Linked DNA regions of Ovis aries. The protein of the gene in region 2 interacts with the protein of the main gene of each other region in a pairwise test. Links are inferred from orthologs where the notes say so. Each region holds a gene or a part of one and is shown on either strand. Other genes may lie near its edges.

Region 1 (7,519 bases), on a different chromosome or scaffold from region 2:
AAAATTATGAAATCAGGGCAGCAAGTGACCTGAAGGAGGCTGCCACCAAAAATGCTGGGTACAGATGCGGAGATGCCCAGGGAACGGGCTCCAAAACAGTAAGGGTCAGGCTGGGGTGGGGGCTCCAGGTGACTTGTCTGCATTGTATTGGCTTACTGTGCTCAGTATTCCTTTCATAATTAATAAAGGTCTTTTCAAAAGAAAAAGAGCACGTGAGGAGCAAGTTATGAAATAAAAAGGCCATAAAATTAGGAAACAAAACAGACACAGGGCCCAACTCCCCCACTTGTGTTCCTTAGCTATGCTGGGTCTCTATCCTTTACAGATCTTGCTGAGTTGTTCTGGGGTAAGCACAGCCCACCTTGCACATGGTAGAAACACACTTGTGCCAAGCCTACTGAGAAACTATCTTTATCTCTTTAGTAGAGATCAGAGGAGGGGAGGAGGCTTTTTAAGATTAACCTGGGGGAAGGTATTAAATGAAAAAAGCAACCAAGCATATGGGCCACTTATTCCTAGTTTTGGCTCTGGGTACACTTGGGTTCCCTGTGTGACATGTTGGGAAAAACATAGGCAGACACTCGAATTCATTACCAAGAGCAGGTTCTAGTACTTTTTAAAAATAATTGATCACATTTCTCTACCACCCTGGCAACCCAGCCATCTCATGGGACTGGGGGGCCACCAAGGAGTATGGGATCAGATGCCAAAACATATTCTGAAGGACCTTGTTTTCCCCTATTCCAGTTATGGGAAAGGAATCAGAGGGCTGACCAAGAAAAGCATCGAGATTTCAATAGAAATGCCATAATTTATTCTGTTGTATAAAAAAGTCATCCTTATGTAACAAAATGTCTTCTTAGAAGAAGATATATATTATTTCAGGTCATAAATAATCAGCAAACATACAACTGTTGGCAACTTAAAAAACAAAACAAAATCAACACTGGTGCTTTCCAGTGTTGAAAACAAACCTGCTTAGGATATATTTACAGGATATTACAGTACTCAAACACAAAAATTGAGGTATTTGGTTCTTCTAGGAGTAGACACTGACATTTGTGAAGGTGGACCGCCTACACAAAAATAAATAAAACAAAGTATATTCTCATATGTATATGCGTTGTCGGGAATGGTAATACTGGTAGGTATGTCAAGCATGAAAAGTGTCTTCAGAAAACAGGGACAAAAAGAGAAATCGGCTCTCACACTTGAGTCCTCTCTCTTCTGCCCCTTTCTGTCCGAGGGACTTGATGTACGCACTGTATGTTGGTCCCGAAATGTGCTGAGTTCAGCAAACATCTTGGCGTGAAGTCATCATTACAACTGCTCAGGAACCCAGTGGAACTTGGGTGAAATTAAATAAATAAAGACCAGCCCTCACGAGCCCCCTTCCCTGGAGTTATTGCATTTCCACTTTCCAGGAGCCTGGAATCCCGGTGGGTTGTGAAGATCACCTCCCGTGGCTTTTCAGCAGCTGGGAGAGGTCGTGATAGGGCTCTGAAGGTAGCTCAATGCACTGTTTGTGGGGTGGACGGGAATGGAGACCGGGAAGTTGAAGACAGTGGTGGTGGAGGTGCTGCAGTCAAGCACAGCCATGGCGGGGCTCCCCGCCTCTGCCGAGCAGTGGGGGGCCAGGACCTGCGACTCAAACTGCAGCAGCTGGCCCATGAAGCTGAAGTTGGGGGAGATGATGCTTCTCCTCTGCTTCACGAACTCAAAGGCCTCATCCAGCTTGACTCGGTTAGTCCTCATGAGGTAAGCGAGGCAGATGGTGGCCGATCGGGAAATGCCCGCCTGACAGTGGACAAACACCCTTCCACCAGCATTCTTGATGGAGTCTGGAAAACAAAGGGCAGCTGGTTATTTGAGAGCCCAGGAGAATAACTCCAACCAACCCCAGGTGTCTAAGAAATGCCACATGTGTCCTGTCCAGTATGGTCGATATCACCTCATGTCATCACAGACATACTGTCCATGAAGGCAATGTGGGCACAGTGGATTTAAACAGCCGGGGATTTAAACCCAGGCAAGGCATCGCCACTAAGCAGATTGATATTGGACAGATCAATTCAACCTGAGATTCAGTTTGCTAATTTATAAAGTGGGACATCGAAACTGTACTTTGCAGGGATGCTGCCCATGCCAGACTGATTTTAATGTCTAGAGGAAAGCTTAAATCTATGTTGCTCAAGTTCTTGCCATGGAATTTAGTCTCAGTCACTGAAACAGAAGGAGTGTGGCAAAGTCCCAGGCATCTGCTCCACTTACCTATGAAGTCAATTGCCTCATTGAACCAGGAGCTGATGTCTGCCTTGTGGTTGTCCTCCACGGGGATGCTCTTGTACTGGTAGTGACCCTCGAAATGGTTGGGACAGTTTGCAGAGACGTTGATCAAGGCAGTGATGCCCAAGGCATCCAGCATGTCCTTGCGGGAAGCATGATAGGCACTGCCCAGGTACAGAAAGGGCAGGATCTCCACTGGGCCACCCTGAAATCCAGAAACATCCAACGCTTGTCAAGCTTTGTTCAACGGCAATGGTGGTGCCCACATCCACAAAACCTCCCTCCTGGATAAGTTAGTTTCAATATTGGGTGAACCTCACAGCACTGTTAAGAGTGTCAATAAATAAGGGACTAAACCCATTTGCCTAGGCAGGGCCAACAAGCTAATTTCTGTAGTGCCAACAATTACAGGCTCGGCTCCATCATGCCATGTAACCACGGGATAAATGAAATCTCCTGTGTCCCCTGTTATAAATAAAGCTGCACGTCACTTTCTATATTTTCACTAGCGCGGCTCTGCCACCTTTGCCAGCTCTTCCTTCTCCCCTCCGGCACAGCCCCCTACTAACCTGATCGTAGAGCGGGGTGCTGCAGGAACTGCACCCCGATTCAGCGCTGTCAGGGACACTAGTACTCAGGGGAAGGCTGAGCCCCATGGGGGTCGACTGTTTGCTGCACAGCTCCGGGTAGGAAGCAGAAAAAGCTTCATATCCTCCTGGGAACACAAAGAGACACATATTTTTCATTAGTACCGCCGAGACAGGGTACCTTCATACAACTTCCTCATCCACCAGAGCTGGAAGTTTAGCCCGGGGAGCCCCAGGCGAGTCTTTGTTCCTAGAGCCAAACAAAGCCAACAAGTCCCCACAATGCGACTCAGGCGTCCAAGCTCTCAGGTGGAGCAGCACCCCCCGCAGCTGAGAACCAGGGGTCCCCAGACTAGGCGGCGGAGGGCGTGAGGCCCGCCCCTGAGCGTCCCCGAAGGCGTACCTTTGAGCAAAAAGATTTGCGCGCTGCGCGCCTCGCGGCAGAGCGCGCCGGCGGCCAGCGCCAGGGTGCCGTCGCGCTTGGCGCAGTCCAGCGCGGCGCTGCGCTCGTCCAGCAGCACCACTGCGTGGTAGGCGCCGGCCAGCAGGCGGCCGCGCAGCTCGGCGTTGGGCACGATGTGCTCCAGACCCATGGCGCCCTTGGCCCGCCGACGCACAATGGTGCTGAAGCGCACGTTGACCGAGCCGGCGATGTGGCCGGCGTTGAAAGCGAAGAAGGAGCGACAGTCCAACAGCAGGCACTGCGCCGCGCGCTCCCGCAGCAGCGTCCGGAGGCCTCCGGCGTCCAGGGAGACCACTTCCATGACCATGGCCGGCCCCAGCGCCCCCAGCGTGCAAGTCGTCCTACGTTCTTTGTCCCGGGAAGCGAACAGCAGGGCGATGGCTTTCGAGGAAAAGCCCGACCCCGGTTTTCTTTGCGCCAAACCCAAACTGCCTTTGGACCGAGCGAGGGGTCGCCGTGTGGGACTCTCGACCGCCTCGGCTTCCTTGTTGCTCTCCCGACGGCCCTTCCACCCGCGATTCGCCCAGGGCCCCGAAGTCTTTCGCAGCGAGTCCGAGCCGGCGGAGAGCGTTTATATTGTGGCTCCGCGTAAGCAAGCGGGGCGGCGCGGGGCGGGGCGCGCGCGCGCGCGCGCTGTGGGGGAGGGGATTGTTTGTTTGAATGACGGTCACGTGACTGGTGTGGTGACGTCACCCGCCTTGCCGGGTTTGGCGCCGGAGCAGCCAAAGGCGAAGACGTCAGCGGCCTCCGAGTGGGGTCCGCTGGCTAAGCTCTGGCTCGGGCTTCGGCCTCCGCCCGGCCGTCCAGCCTGCGCCTGGCGCGTCCCTAGGGAGCTGGTCCGGGCCACTCTCCGGGCCCAGCGGGGAGGGGAGAGGGTGGGCGCTCTGCCAGCCGAGGGCTGACTCCCGTGTGCGAGTGCCTGGGAGCGGGCCGCGTGCCATGGGCCCCCGCCTCCCCCTTTCCACCCCCTCCACCGCGCCGCGTCCCGGCGCCCGCTCCTCCGCCGACCGGAGCCGAAAGGGGTCTCCTTTGTTACTGGATACACAGGCGCCCCTTTCTCTCATTTCCCCGTACCCAGCAGGCGAGGAAACACGGGTTCCCGAGGAGAAGCGATTTATTATACTTGCCCAGTATCGCACTGCTGGGGGTGAGCGGGCCGAGGGGAGACTGAAATGAGGGTCGGAGAAAAATTGAGTTTGTCCGCTCAAGAACAACCGGGGTAGGTTGGGGTGGAGGTGTTCAGGGAAATACATTCCTGTTCCCCAGGCTTTCCTGTTACTTTAAAATGTACATTTAACAAGTAAAATGCGGTCCAACCAAACCCCAAGCAGAAAAATGTCAATCCTAGTCATGTGGTCCTTACGTGGTTGTGAGCCGAGGAAGGCGGGTCAGGGGTCTGAAATGAGGGTGGGGGCCGCAAGGTGCGGTTGTGGATTGCGGACGTCCGGCTTTTAGTGAGGCGACCCCCCGCCCAGTGCGGATCGACAGCGCCCCCGCAGGGACCGCCAGACACCTTTCTTCTGCTCGCGTTTTCTTAAGTCTCAGCGGCTTCATCTCTTTGTGGTGGTTTCTTCAGATTCTTTGCGACCTCATGGACTGGAGCCCACCAGGCTCCTCTGTCCATAGAATTTCCCAGGCAAGAATACTGGAGTGGGTTACCATTCCCTTTTCCTGGGGATTTTCTTTTAGTCCCCAAACATGTACTGATTGAGCGCCTACTAAGCGCCGGGCTGGGGACTGCAACTGGGAACCGGAGCACCGTCCAGCCCCAGGGCCCTGGTTCTTGCCATCAACGTGAGCTGGTCTTGAAATATAATCCTACAGCATTTTAAGAGGATTTACAGGACCTGGACAAAGGTTTGGGGAGACCTCCATAAGGTCACCCTCATCCTGGGCCCTAGTGAAGCCCTCCGACCTCCCGATCCCCGGCAGCACCACACAAACACAAATATTGCGCCATCAGGCTGGGGTGCTGAGTCAGGAACATTCTGTGGTTTCCTCCCCTCTCCTCTAGGAGAGCGGGGTATTTCACTAACACCCAGTGTCGTTGATCCGCTGGTTGTATCAGCAGAGGCAACTTCTGCATTTGCCTCGCTTAGTGTTCTCACATGCTCAGACTTTCTGCCTAAATTCTAAAAAAGTAAAAGGCTAAGTGCTTTTTTAAAAAGAGCATTTTTGGCCTTCAGGTGAACACTGGCTGAGAACAGCAAAGAGGTCCTTAGATTATGGCAACACCCGCCCTGTATCTTTTAAAAAAAAGAGAAAGTATTTGTTTATACTACTTATTCAGCTGAGGAACTCAACATATTTTATGCATTGAATCATGAAATGTTACAGCTGCTGACTTTTCACAGCATACCAACTTGATCTATCCCAAGTTGTGTGTGTGTGTGTGTGTGTTTTACCAAGAGCAGTTTTTAATACCTACATATTTTCAAAAAGCAAACTTTTTTTAATGCAAATATTAGAGCGGTAAGTGGCAGTGTGGCCCTACAATCAGGTGTCTGCTGAGCTCTGCACGGTTTTCCTCTCTAGCCTGTCTAGAAAGAGCAGAGCTTGGCCCCCATGCTGTCATTTTGCTCCTGGGTGATCCTAGCTGAATCTCTTCCCCTAATGAGCCTCTAAGCTGACATCTGAACAATTTTCTTACAACTGCCTACTTTGTGAATGATTTGAGGCCCAAGTTAGAGATGATAGATATAAGGAGCCCAGGCCCTACCCATGCCTTCTTGCTATGATTCACTAGATCTTTTGGTCTTCCCCTTCCCAGAAGAGCACTTCTTATATAATCAGGCCATTTTGTGTTTCAGCATTTGGCACCAGAGCTTGGTGAGAAGGTCACCACTGGATGCTGGTAGGTGAAGCTGGTACAGAGGTCCCTCGCTGAGCCCAGTCAACACACAATGGCTCAGGTTGGGGAGTGTGGTGGTAAAGATGAAGCCCCCTAGGCCCTCAGTCCAGGATGTAGAGGTGCTACTTCTGGGTGGAGATGGAGCCAAAGAGGGCCCAACATAATCTGGTCTGTGGTGACTGCAGAGGCAGAAGGGACTGGAATTGTGGCCCTGGGAGGCAGAGGAACATGAAAGAGCATCAGGGGATTTTGACTCAGGGGAGGGAACCTGGTCTTTCTCACCTGGGCTCTTGCTGATTTTAGATGTGCTCAGGAATAGACCTGGAGGCACCGTTAATGTGTAGCTTGACAGTGGAACGTGGCTTTTCCTCTCATGTCCCGACTCCCTCCTTTCTGTGACGGAGGTAAGGACATAGGGGCTGTGGGGAGACTGAGTAGCCACGATTGATTTTACATTCCAATCCCTGTCCAAATCATGCCCTCAGAGTTGGCTTTGGACCTGTTCTGAGGTCACTGGAGGAGAAAAAATGGTGCTCTCACAGATGCTAGTCAGAAAGGAGCCCCAGCTCACTGTCTGCTCTGTGACCTTGGCAGGCAGATCGCTTAACGCTTCTGAGCCTCTGTTTCCCCATTTGTAAACTGGGAGAACTCCCCAGTCCAAGATGGCAGACTAGTGTCTCAAAATAACCTTCTTCTAGCTCAGCTGGTTAAGAATCCGCCTGCAATGCAGGAGACCCTGGGTTGGGAAAATCCCCTGGAGAAGGGATAGGCTACCCACTCCAGTATTTCTTGGGCTTCCCTAGTGGTTCAGACAGTAGAGAATTCACTTGCAATGCAGAAGACATGGGTTCAATCCCTGGGTTGGGAAGATCCCCTGGAGGAGGGGATGGCAACACACTCCAGTATTTTTGCCTGGAGAATCCCCATGGACAGAGGAGCCTGGTGGGCTACAGTCCATGGGGTCACAAAGAGTCAACTGAGCGACTAAGCACAGCAGGGCCCAGCACAGGGGGGTTGGGAAGCCCGTTATTTTATAGGACAGATAGGGGGAGGAGTGAGGAAGTAAAGACTATTATCCTACAAATATCTCTTGGAATGGCCAACCTCAGGAAGGGAGAGTGTTAATTTCTTCAAGCAGAGGGCCAGGGTTCCCTGAGGCAGGCCGTTATATATGATTATAATAAAAACAGTGAAAAACAAGGTTAAAGTCAAAGAAACAGATCCATCATGGAGTCAGAATCGGCTCTTAGGAGTACCATCATCTAGGGCCTGCTGTGAATCCCATCTGGAGGGGGTGCTCTCGAGAGAGGGTGCTGGCTCCCACCATTCATG
Region 2 (7,722 bases):
TTCTTACCTGGAGAATCCTATGGACGGAGGGGCCTGATGGGCTACAGTTTATGGGGTTGCAAAGAGTCAGACACGACTAAGCAACTAGTACACACACATATACCCCTTTCACTGATTAAGAGTCAGGAAAGTCACCTCTGCACACTCTATAATGACATTCTTTTATTTATTTGTGCCCTGGCTCTTTTTTTTTTTCCCCAAGATTTAAAATGATGAGTGGCTATTAATACTAAAAAACTTAGCTTCACTTATCTTTACTACATTTATTTTCACAAAGCATTTTGGATGTTGAATTTGACCTCTTAGTAAATTTTGCCATTCTTTTACCAAAGTTTTGGTATATACTTTATATACTGATGATAAATATAAACAGCACAGAACAATGCCCAGAACATAGAAAGCAATCCATAAAATGCAGTTATTATTCACATCACACTATACACCTACCAGGGAATGAACTGTCTTTGTCTTGTTTAACAGTCTAGCTCAAGAAACCTAGCCTGCTATCTGGTCCATGAGTGTGTGAAGTCATTTTAGGCATGTCCGACTCTTTGCAACCCTATGGACTGAGGCCCACCAGGCTCCTCTGTCCATGGGGAGTCTCCAGGCAAGAATACTGGAGTGGTTTACCATTTCTTCCTCCACAGGCTCTTCCCCACCCAGGGATCAAACTTGTGTCTCTTGCACTGGCAGGCGGGTGGGTTCCTTACCACTAGCACCACCTGGGACGCCCCTAAAGATGTGTGCGTGCTAAGCTGCTGGTCCATAGTTGGTGCTCAATAAATATTACTTAATAAGTGATTCAATATGGTTTAAGAATAATTCTGATCTCTTACCTGTTTTATGGTTACCACTGCCGCACCTCCTATAATCAAAGGCAAGAGTCTGGAAAACGCATACACCAGAGGAAGGGCATTTAAGTTCCTGTTTATATTTCCTTAAACTCACCACAAAGATCCTCCCCCGCCCCTTTCGTCCCTAAACCACAAAATCAATGCTTTGCAACACCGTACTCTTGAACAATTTTGCTTCATTTCCCCTCACTGACAGCGCACCAAGTTCCTTAAAGCTGCAAGCTTTAGTTTAGTTCCCTTTACCCCTTAAGAAGGAAAGGTATGTTTGTAAAACTCTAATACTCAAAGTTCTATTTTGATTTCTTGATCTTTCATTCACGATTAGTTATCATACTTGCGTTACTAGATACTTAGTACAAATGAAAACACTGAAAATTGGCTTATTATTTAATTTTTAAAGTTAACACATCAAAGTGTATCACACTTCAGAGCAATCAAATTAGGAAACTGACACATTATTTCAGTGATGTTGCATTCCTTGAAATACTTTCAGAGATTCTTTTTTGGAACAGACTTCAATCCAGTTCTACAAGTCCCACAGGAAATTCTGTGTCATTACTTTACGGTTACAACTCCTATTTGACCTCAAACAGTATCACCAGCCTGGCTGCCTGATCTTTTTCACCAGACTTGAGCCCAAATTCTCTAAATGATTTGGATTCAATCTAACTTCGTTATTTCCTAAAATCAAATCTGCTCTAAAAAAAAAATGAAGAGAGTGAAAAATAACACAGGCTCCAAAGTGGATTCTAAGAGAAGTTTAAAAAACATTTTTTTTTTCTGCCACACCTAAAAGCTGCTGACTGAAAGAACAACTTGAAATAACTACTCTGAATGAGATAACACATGTGAATGTAAATTCTGATATTTTCAATCCAAAATCAACTATACTTGTTTACGGTCAACTGTCACATAATATTGGTTATTTTTCTCCACCAATATGTTATAGGTTACACCTTAAACAACCTTAGCAGAACTGCCTCCACAGAAAGACACACAAGAAACTTAACAGGGGTGGTCTCTTGAGAAAAGAACTAGTCCAGCTGGACAAAGAGAATGGAAACTTTTCACTGTCTTTCTATGCCTTTTACATTTTATACAATGTGAATGTACTACCTACTTTTAAAAACCTGTTTAACAAAATTACTTCCAAGTGTCAGTTTTGATGGCTTCTATAAACCAGAAAAATAAAGCACTAAAAAATGTGGAGTTCATGTTTTATCAGCACTTCACTGGATCTCCAGTGCCAGGGCTGAGTTACTCACATCAACTGTAGGGAAACCTTGCAAGCAGTTCACTAACTCCCCACAGTTGAGCCGTATCACTCCACTAAAGTTTAAACAACAATGATAGGAAACAAAAATTCAGTACCACAAAAATTAATGTGTCAATTCCAGAATGAAAACTGGCCGTAAACAAGTGAGCTATTAAAGCAGCAATGATCCAAACACATCTTCGAAAATTAGCGAATCAACAGCACGCTATAAAAATGGAAAAAAGATGTCAAGCATAGGGCCATCAGCGACATCACTCAAGCAGCCTGAACTAGAAAACGCAATATGATCTGTTGCTGGACACAATTGCACAATCTCAATTACCCAGAAGATTCTACCAAACAGGAAATTCATGCTGGGGCTTTAAGAAACACAGGAATTATATTCAAAGATTACCAAGTCTAAAAGCCTGGAACCTGCCCCGAAACAAAAAACTAATTTTGTAGACCTCTTTGCAAATAATGCATGCACAGGAATTACATGAATTAGCTTCAGGTCAGCTCTCAAATTACACAAAATCTAAAATACAGTGTATAAAACCTTAGAAGTTAGAAAAGTTAGTGAACTGAGTCTGGAAATTTTACAGTAGCGTTTCATTTAAAAGACATTCATAGTGTGAATTAAAGCTGAAAAGTGTCTCTTCCTTCTTTTGCTATATATTCCATATCCCATGAAAACCATTATGTACCTCTCAGGCCTTAAGTGCAGATTAAGTTCTCTGCAAACCCTCTAAAGGACTTTAAAAACACAGTGTTTCACAAGAATTATCACGATTAAAAAATATTTATAATACATCGCAGCATTGTTAAAAACTTTTTGATCTTGAGGGCGTCCAACGGATCTGAACCTCACTTGCTCCAAAGGAGAAAATCGTTTTGTCAAACAATACTTAAATGAGCAGTGGTATGTGACTAATCAGCGAGGCCGCCAGCTTCTCAAGCTGCAGGCACTACCACCACCCCCCACTCTGCGAAAAGGAAATACGCTTTCAACTGAATCGGAAACACACCACTCAAGCTGGCACAGGGCTCACCGAGATAAAGTCGGTATTTTAAGCTCCCTGGATAGCTGCTAATTCAAGTGCGAATTCAAAAAGAACCCTTCTCAAAATGCAATTTCGACAGAGGTTTGCAAAAAAGCCCGAACTCAACGCCCTTCGTCCTCAGTTTTGTTCAGATGACCGCAGTCGAGCTTTGCCCTTCTGCTTCTCCGGGCAGCTTCCCGGGCTTGTCTGCTCCGAGGGCAGGCACATCTCGAGAGAGTCCTTCTGCTCGATGCCAGCAGGGAGAGACCTCCGAAGAGGGACCCCTGTTCCTGCCCCCGTAGCAGCACCGCCCCCCCACCCCCACCCCCACCCCCAAGGGAACGCGCAGGGTGCGAGTCAGGGCCCGGCTCCAACACCATCACCCACCGCCCACAGCGGACCTGCGTCCTACACACAGCTGACCATCTACGTGGGCGTGCAGGGTGGGGGTGCAAGGGGGACAGGGAGTGCAGGACAGGGGTCGAAGAGGGCTGGGATGCCCTCCCCCCAAGGAAAATTCCTGCCGCTGGGTGCATTGCTGAGCCGTGGGGGCAGGCCTGACTCCAGGGCATACGGAGACACCCGGCCCAGCGAGGCCCCCGGCCCGGTGACACTCACCACACAGAGCCATAGGCGCCGGAGCCCACCGGGGACAGGTTCTGGTAACGCTCGGGCACCTCCCAGATGGTCTTGTTCAGCTCCTGCCGGTAGAACGTGGGCCTCTCCTGAGACATCTTCCAGCGGTGGCCGCGGGGCGAGGAGGTGGCCCTTGCAGGGCCCCGCCTGCACCCGCACCCGCTTCCCCTGACCTCGTAGCCCGCCCGGCCGGGCGGGGACCCCTGCGCTGGCCGCCCGCGCAGGTGCGGCTGCGGCGACCCTGAAGAAGCCCGCGCGCGCGCGCGGCCCCTGTCAGCCGCAGCGGCTGGACGCGCCTCACCGACGGCGGGGGAAGCACTGCGAAGGGCCGGGGCACGCTCCGGGGCCCTGGGCTGGCGCCCCGCCCAGCTCTCCCTGCGCTCTCTCCACACCCGGCCGACTCCCGGCTGCGCGGCGGGGTCACAGCTCCAGCTGCAGCGCCCGCGGAGCTTCCAGTGGTCGCCTTTCCCAGAGCCAGCGAACAGGAGCCTCCCGCCGTGCTCTCGCGAGAACAGCTCCCGGACCTCTCCTCGAGCCGAGATTTTACCCAATATGGAACCTGCCCGCGGGAGGGGGGTTGATGAAGGGAGAGCTTGGGAGAAGTAATTCTCGCGAGAAGAGAGCAACAGCTGGCCCCTAGAGGCAGGAACTCCCAGGGATTGCTCTCCTTTAGCGCGCGAAGGCGGACCCGGGAAGGAGCGGAGAAGCAGACGATACAGGCCGCGCGCGCCCCATCGTGGTCGGCGGGGCAAGTGCTTGGCTCCCTGTTGGAAAGAGACAGTGACAAATCAATCGGGTGTCTGGGAAAAGAGCCAAAAGACCTTTAAACGGTGGGTAATCACCAGCAGCTGAGCACCTGCTCGGCGGAAAACCCCCAATTTCCAAGAAGTACTTGCATAAAAAAGAGAAAGATTCCGGCCAGAAAGCCGTTGTAGTCCCATCTGCTCAAGGACATACACTTACTCTTCGGAATGCTGACGAAATCTGTCTCAAAGGTAAATATTAGCCCTGAATTAAGGTTGAGGTTTTTCCACCCAGACACTTCTAGTAGTTCTCAAACTTTTACGTGCAGAAGAAGCACCTTGGGCGCTTAAAAATGAACAGCGAGTTTGATTAGATGGGTCCCAGAGGGACTCCAAGACTGTGCATTTTTACAAAATGCGCCAGGTTCAGAAAAGTTCTTGGTATCTCCCTTGGAGAAACATTTTAAAACCTTTACCCTGAAGGTTTGAAACTGATTCCTACCTTGAAGAGCTTCCAGCAAAGAGGGTTTTAAGAATTGTAATCATGCCTCTCAGAGTAAGAACAGTGCAGATAGTGGTTTTCTGGCAGTATCCTGTTGGGCAAGTCAATTGACCTTTCTTAGACCTTAGTTCCAGTTTATGCAAAAAAGAATTGCTGCCCTGAAATTTCCCACCTGAAAGCTGAACAAGATAATAAATGTGAATGGGCAAGGTATTATAACCCCATACCTTCATGTCACTATTAACTTATTCCTACCCTAAAACTTGTTTCAATAAGCAGAATTGGACCCTATCTTATTCTTGGTCATTTCTTTTAGAACTAACTGGGCTCAAGCCAGGACACTTCCCATCACTATCCATGACTATTCTCTTTTGTGTTATGCATCCCTTGAAGTGCTCAAATTTTGCCTATCTTGTCCCAGCATCTAGCTCAGGGCCTCGAACATAGAAGTTACTCCATAAGTATTTGCTGAGCAAATTATGAACAAGGACATGATCTCAACTAAGGTGGCATTGCAGGATCCTCAGCTGTCAAGGAAAAATAAAATAAAACCCAAAACAAGGGTCGTAGGTGATCTGCGGAAAGCTTTCTTTGGATTCAGTGTGACAGCCTAGATTCTCTTGCCTTAGAAGACATGTTGCTTAAAAATGTTCCAAGCCAAACTGCAGATAGTGAGCTTTCTAAGAAGTATTGGAGGTAGGAGGAAGCAAGAGCAAAAATGCAGCTGTAAAGATATGAGAGGTAAGAGTAGGGGATCAAGGTGAGTGCATGGATAAAAGGGGGAAAACTTGGAAGCTGGAATTCTAAGAAATTCATGTATTTATCCAACAAATTGGGATGATGACATGAGAGTGAGCAAAAGAATAAAGATGAGCAATACACTCACTCACTCAGCAAATATATATTGAATGCCTACTAGGTACCAGGCACTTCTAATGGGAAGTTGGTTGAAAGGCAGATAGCGGCTGCCTACGTGGAGCCTACAGTGAGTAGTGGCACAATCATTCACTTCTTCAACACAGATTTATTGAGCACTTACTAGATCTACCACATTGCTCTGGCACCAATAATACAGCAATTAAAGAAAGACATAAAAATTCCTGCCCTTCTGGGGATGAGACAGATTACAAACGGTATAGGTAGGGACTCCCTGTTGGTCCAGTGGCTCAGACTCCATGCTCCTGGAGCAGAGCCCCTGGGTTGATCCCTGGTCGGGGAACTAAATCCCACTTGCAGCTAGGAAGATGGAAGGTCCACTTACTGCAACTAAATCCTGATGCAGCTAAATAAAGACGTAAATGTATTTTTTAAAGCCGTAGGTAAAGTGAATAATATATTAGACATTACTACAGTAATCAAGCAAGTGGAAAACTGCAACTGGGCAAAGAGGGAATGCAGACACAGGGAGAGGCAGTGACAGGGACTGAGCTTCAGAAGGTTAAGGGGTCTTGGGGGGAGGAGCTGGGCAGGAGGGCGTCCTTCAGTCGGGGTTGGAGATCTCGGGGACCCTCTTAGCCTCCAGTTTCCTCCTGCGTTTTCTGTCCACAAGAGTTGTCGGGAGACTTAGGGTGCATCACTTACGCCAAGTGCGGCGCGCGAGGCCTGGCATCAAGGAGGCCCGCGGGTTCGGCCGCAACGGCTCGGGAACCGCCGGCGTCCGCGTCCGCAGCGCCGCCTGCCCGGCCGGAGCTGCCTCCGGCTCCAGCGCCCGCCCTCCCGCCGTAGCCCGGGAACCAGGTGAGCCGAGGGACCAGGGAGCCGCCCGGGGCCGGGGCTTCAGGTGGTGGCGGCGGCGGGGCCCGGGCTCCGGCGTTGGGTGCGGGGACCACTCCCCCCGGCCCCGGCGTTATACTCGGAAGTCCCCGGGCCACTGTCACCGCAGGGTCAGGCTCGTCGAGGGCACTCAGTCAGTGTTTGCGGAATGAATGAATGACTGTCCTCCCTGGGAGCTTCTCTCTCTGTGCGGTCCCTGCTTTTGAAAGTCCATGAGGAAAGACGGCGCGTGCGTTTGGCAGGCTGACTCCTTCCACACTCGTTGGTCTGAGCCGTCATAAGCCCCAGAACTGGCCTGCTGCCGGAGCCTCCCCCTGATCAACGCACCCCGCTGCCATCCTCCTCCCGAGGCTTGATGCCCAGTTGCGCGCCTTCTGCTTTTTAGACCTCACTGGTGTCGTTCTTGTTCCTTCTAACTGAGTCCCTACTCCCACCTCTCAGCCCCTTGTTCCTTTCAAGTTCTGTTGATGGATCGCAGCAGCCCCTTCTTCAACATCCCCAGCCCAACAATGAGTTTCTCTCCAGCCAGCCCATTGGTAATACTCTCACCAGGTCGCATTAAAGGCAGTTGTCTGTGTGTCGGATGGTCAGCTCCTTGAGGGCTGTCCTCTGATCATTCATCCCCAGCCACCAGACCAAGTGACGGAAACGTACTGAAAGCAATGCCCTTTGCTTGTGCCTTTCTTTTTCACATACATTCCACCATAAAAGCATAGTTAGAATGGGCAAAGGCCTGTTTTTTTCTCATGGAATTACAAATATTTATTTTGAAATTCTGAAAGTGAATTTTCCTTTCCCACGATTATAGAGAACACGTGAAAGCCGACCATATGAAAGGATAATCTTGAAACTAAGTTTCAGGATTTCACATCAATTGGGGTAACAGAAAATTGGGTTGAATTGGGTTGTGTTTAAA

What was found. The genes of interacting proteins can lie anywhere in the genome.
Region 1: the proteins of MAPK14 (region 2) and DUSP1 interact in binary tests that used the Homo sapiens proteins (3 or more experiments, as listed by UniProt). The link is inferred for Ovis aries from reciprocal best matches to the Homo sapiens genes MAPK14 and DUSP1.

What each region holds. Positions count from the first base shown.
Region 1 is NC_056069.1:4,708,809-4,716,327, forward strand, and holds DUSP1 (dual specificity protein phosphatase 1), read right to left. Parts: upstream 3,885-7,519; 5' UTR 3,644-3,884; coding exon 3,277-3,643; intron 3,002-3,276; coding exon 2,856-3,001; intron 2,492-2,855; coding exon 2,272-2,491; intron 1,842-2,271; coding exon 1,471-1,841; 3' UTR 792-1,470; downstream 1-791. UniProt on the Homo sapiens protein: Dual specificity phosphatase that dephosphorylates MAP kinase MAPK1/ERK2 on both 'Thr-183' and 'Tyr-185', regulating its activity during the meiotic cell cycle.
Region 2 is NC_056073.1:10,090,981-10,098,702, reverse strand, and holds the start of MAPK14 (mitogen-activated protein kinase 14), read right to left. Parts: upstream 3,889-7,722; 5' UTR 3,887-3,888; coding exon 3,771-3,886; intron 1-3,770. UniProt on the Homo sapiens protein: Serine/threonine kinase which acts as an essential component of the MAP kinase signal transduction pathway.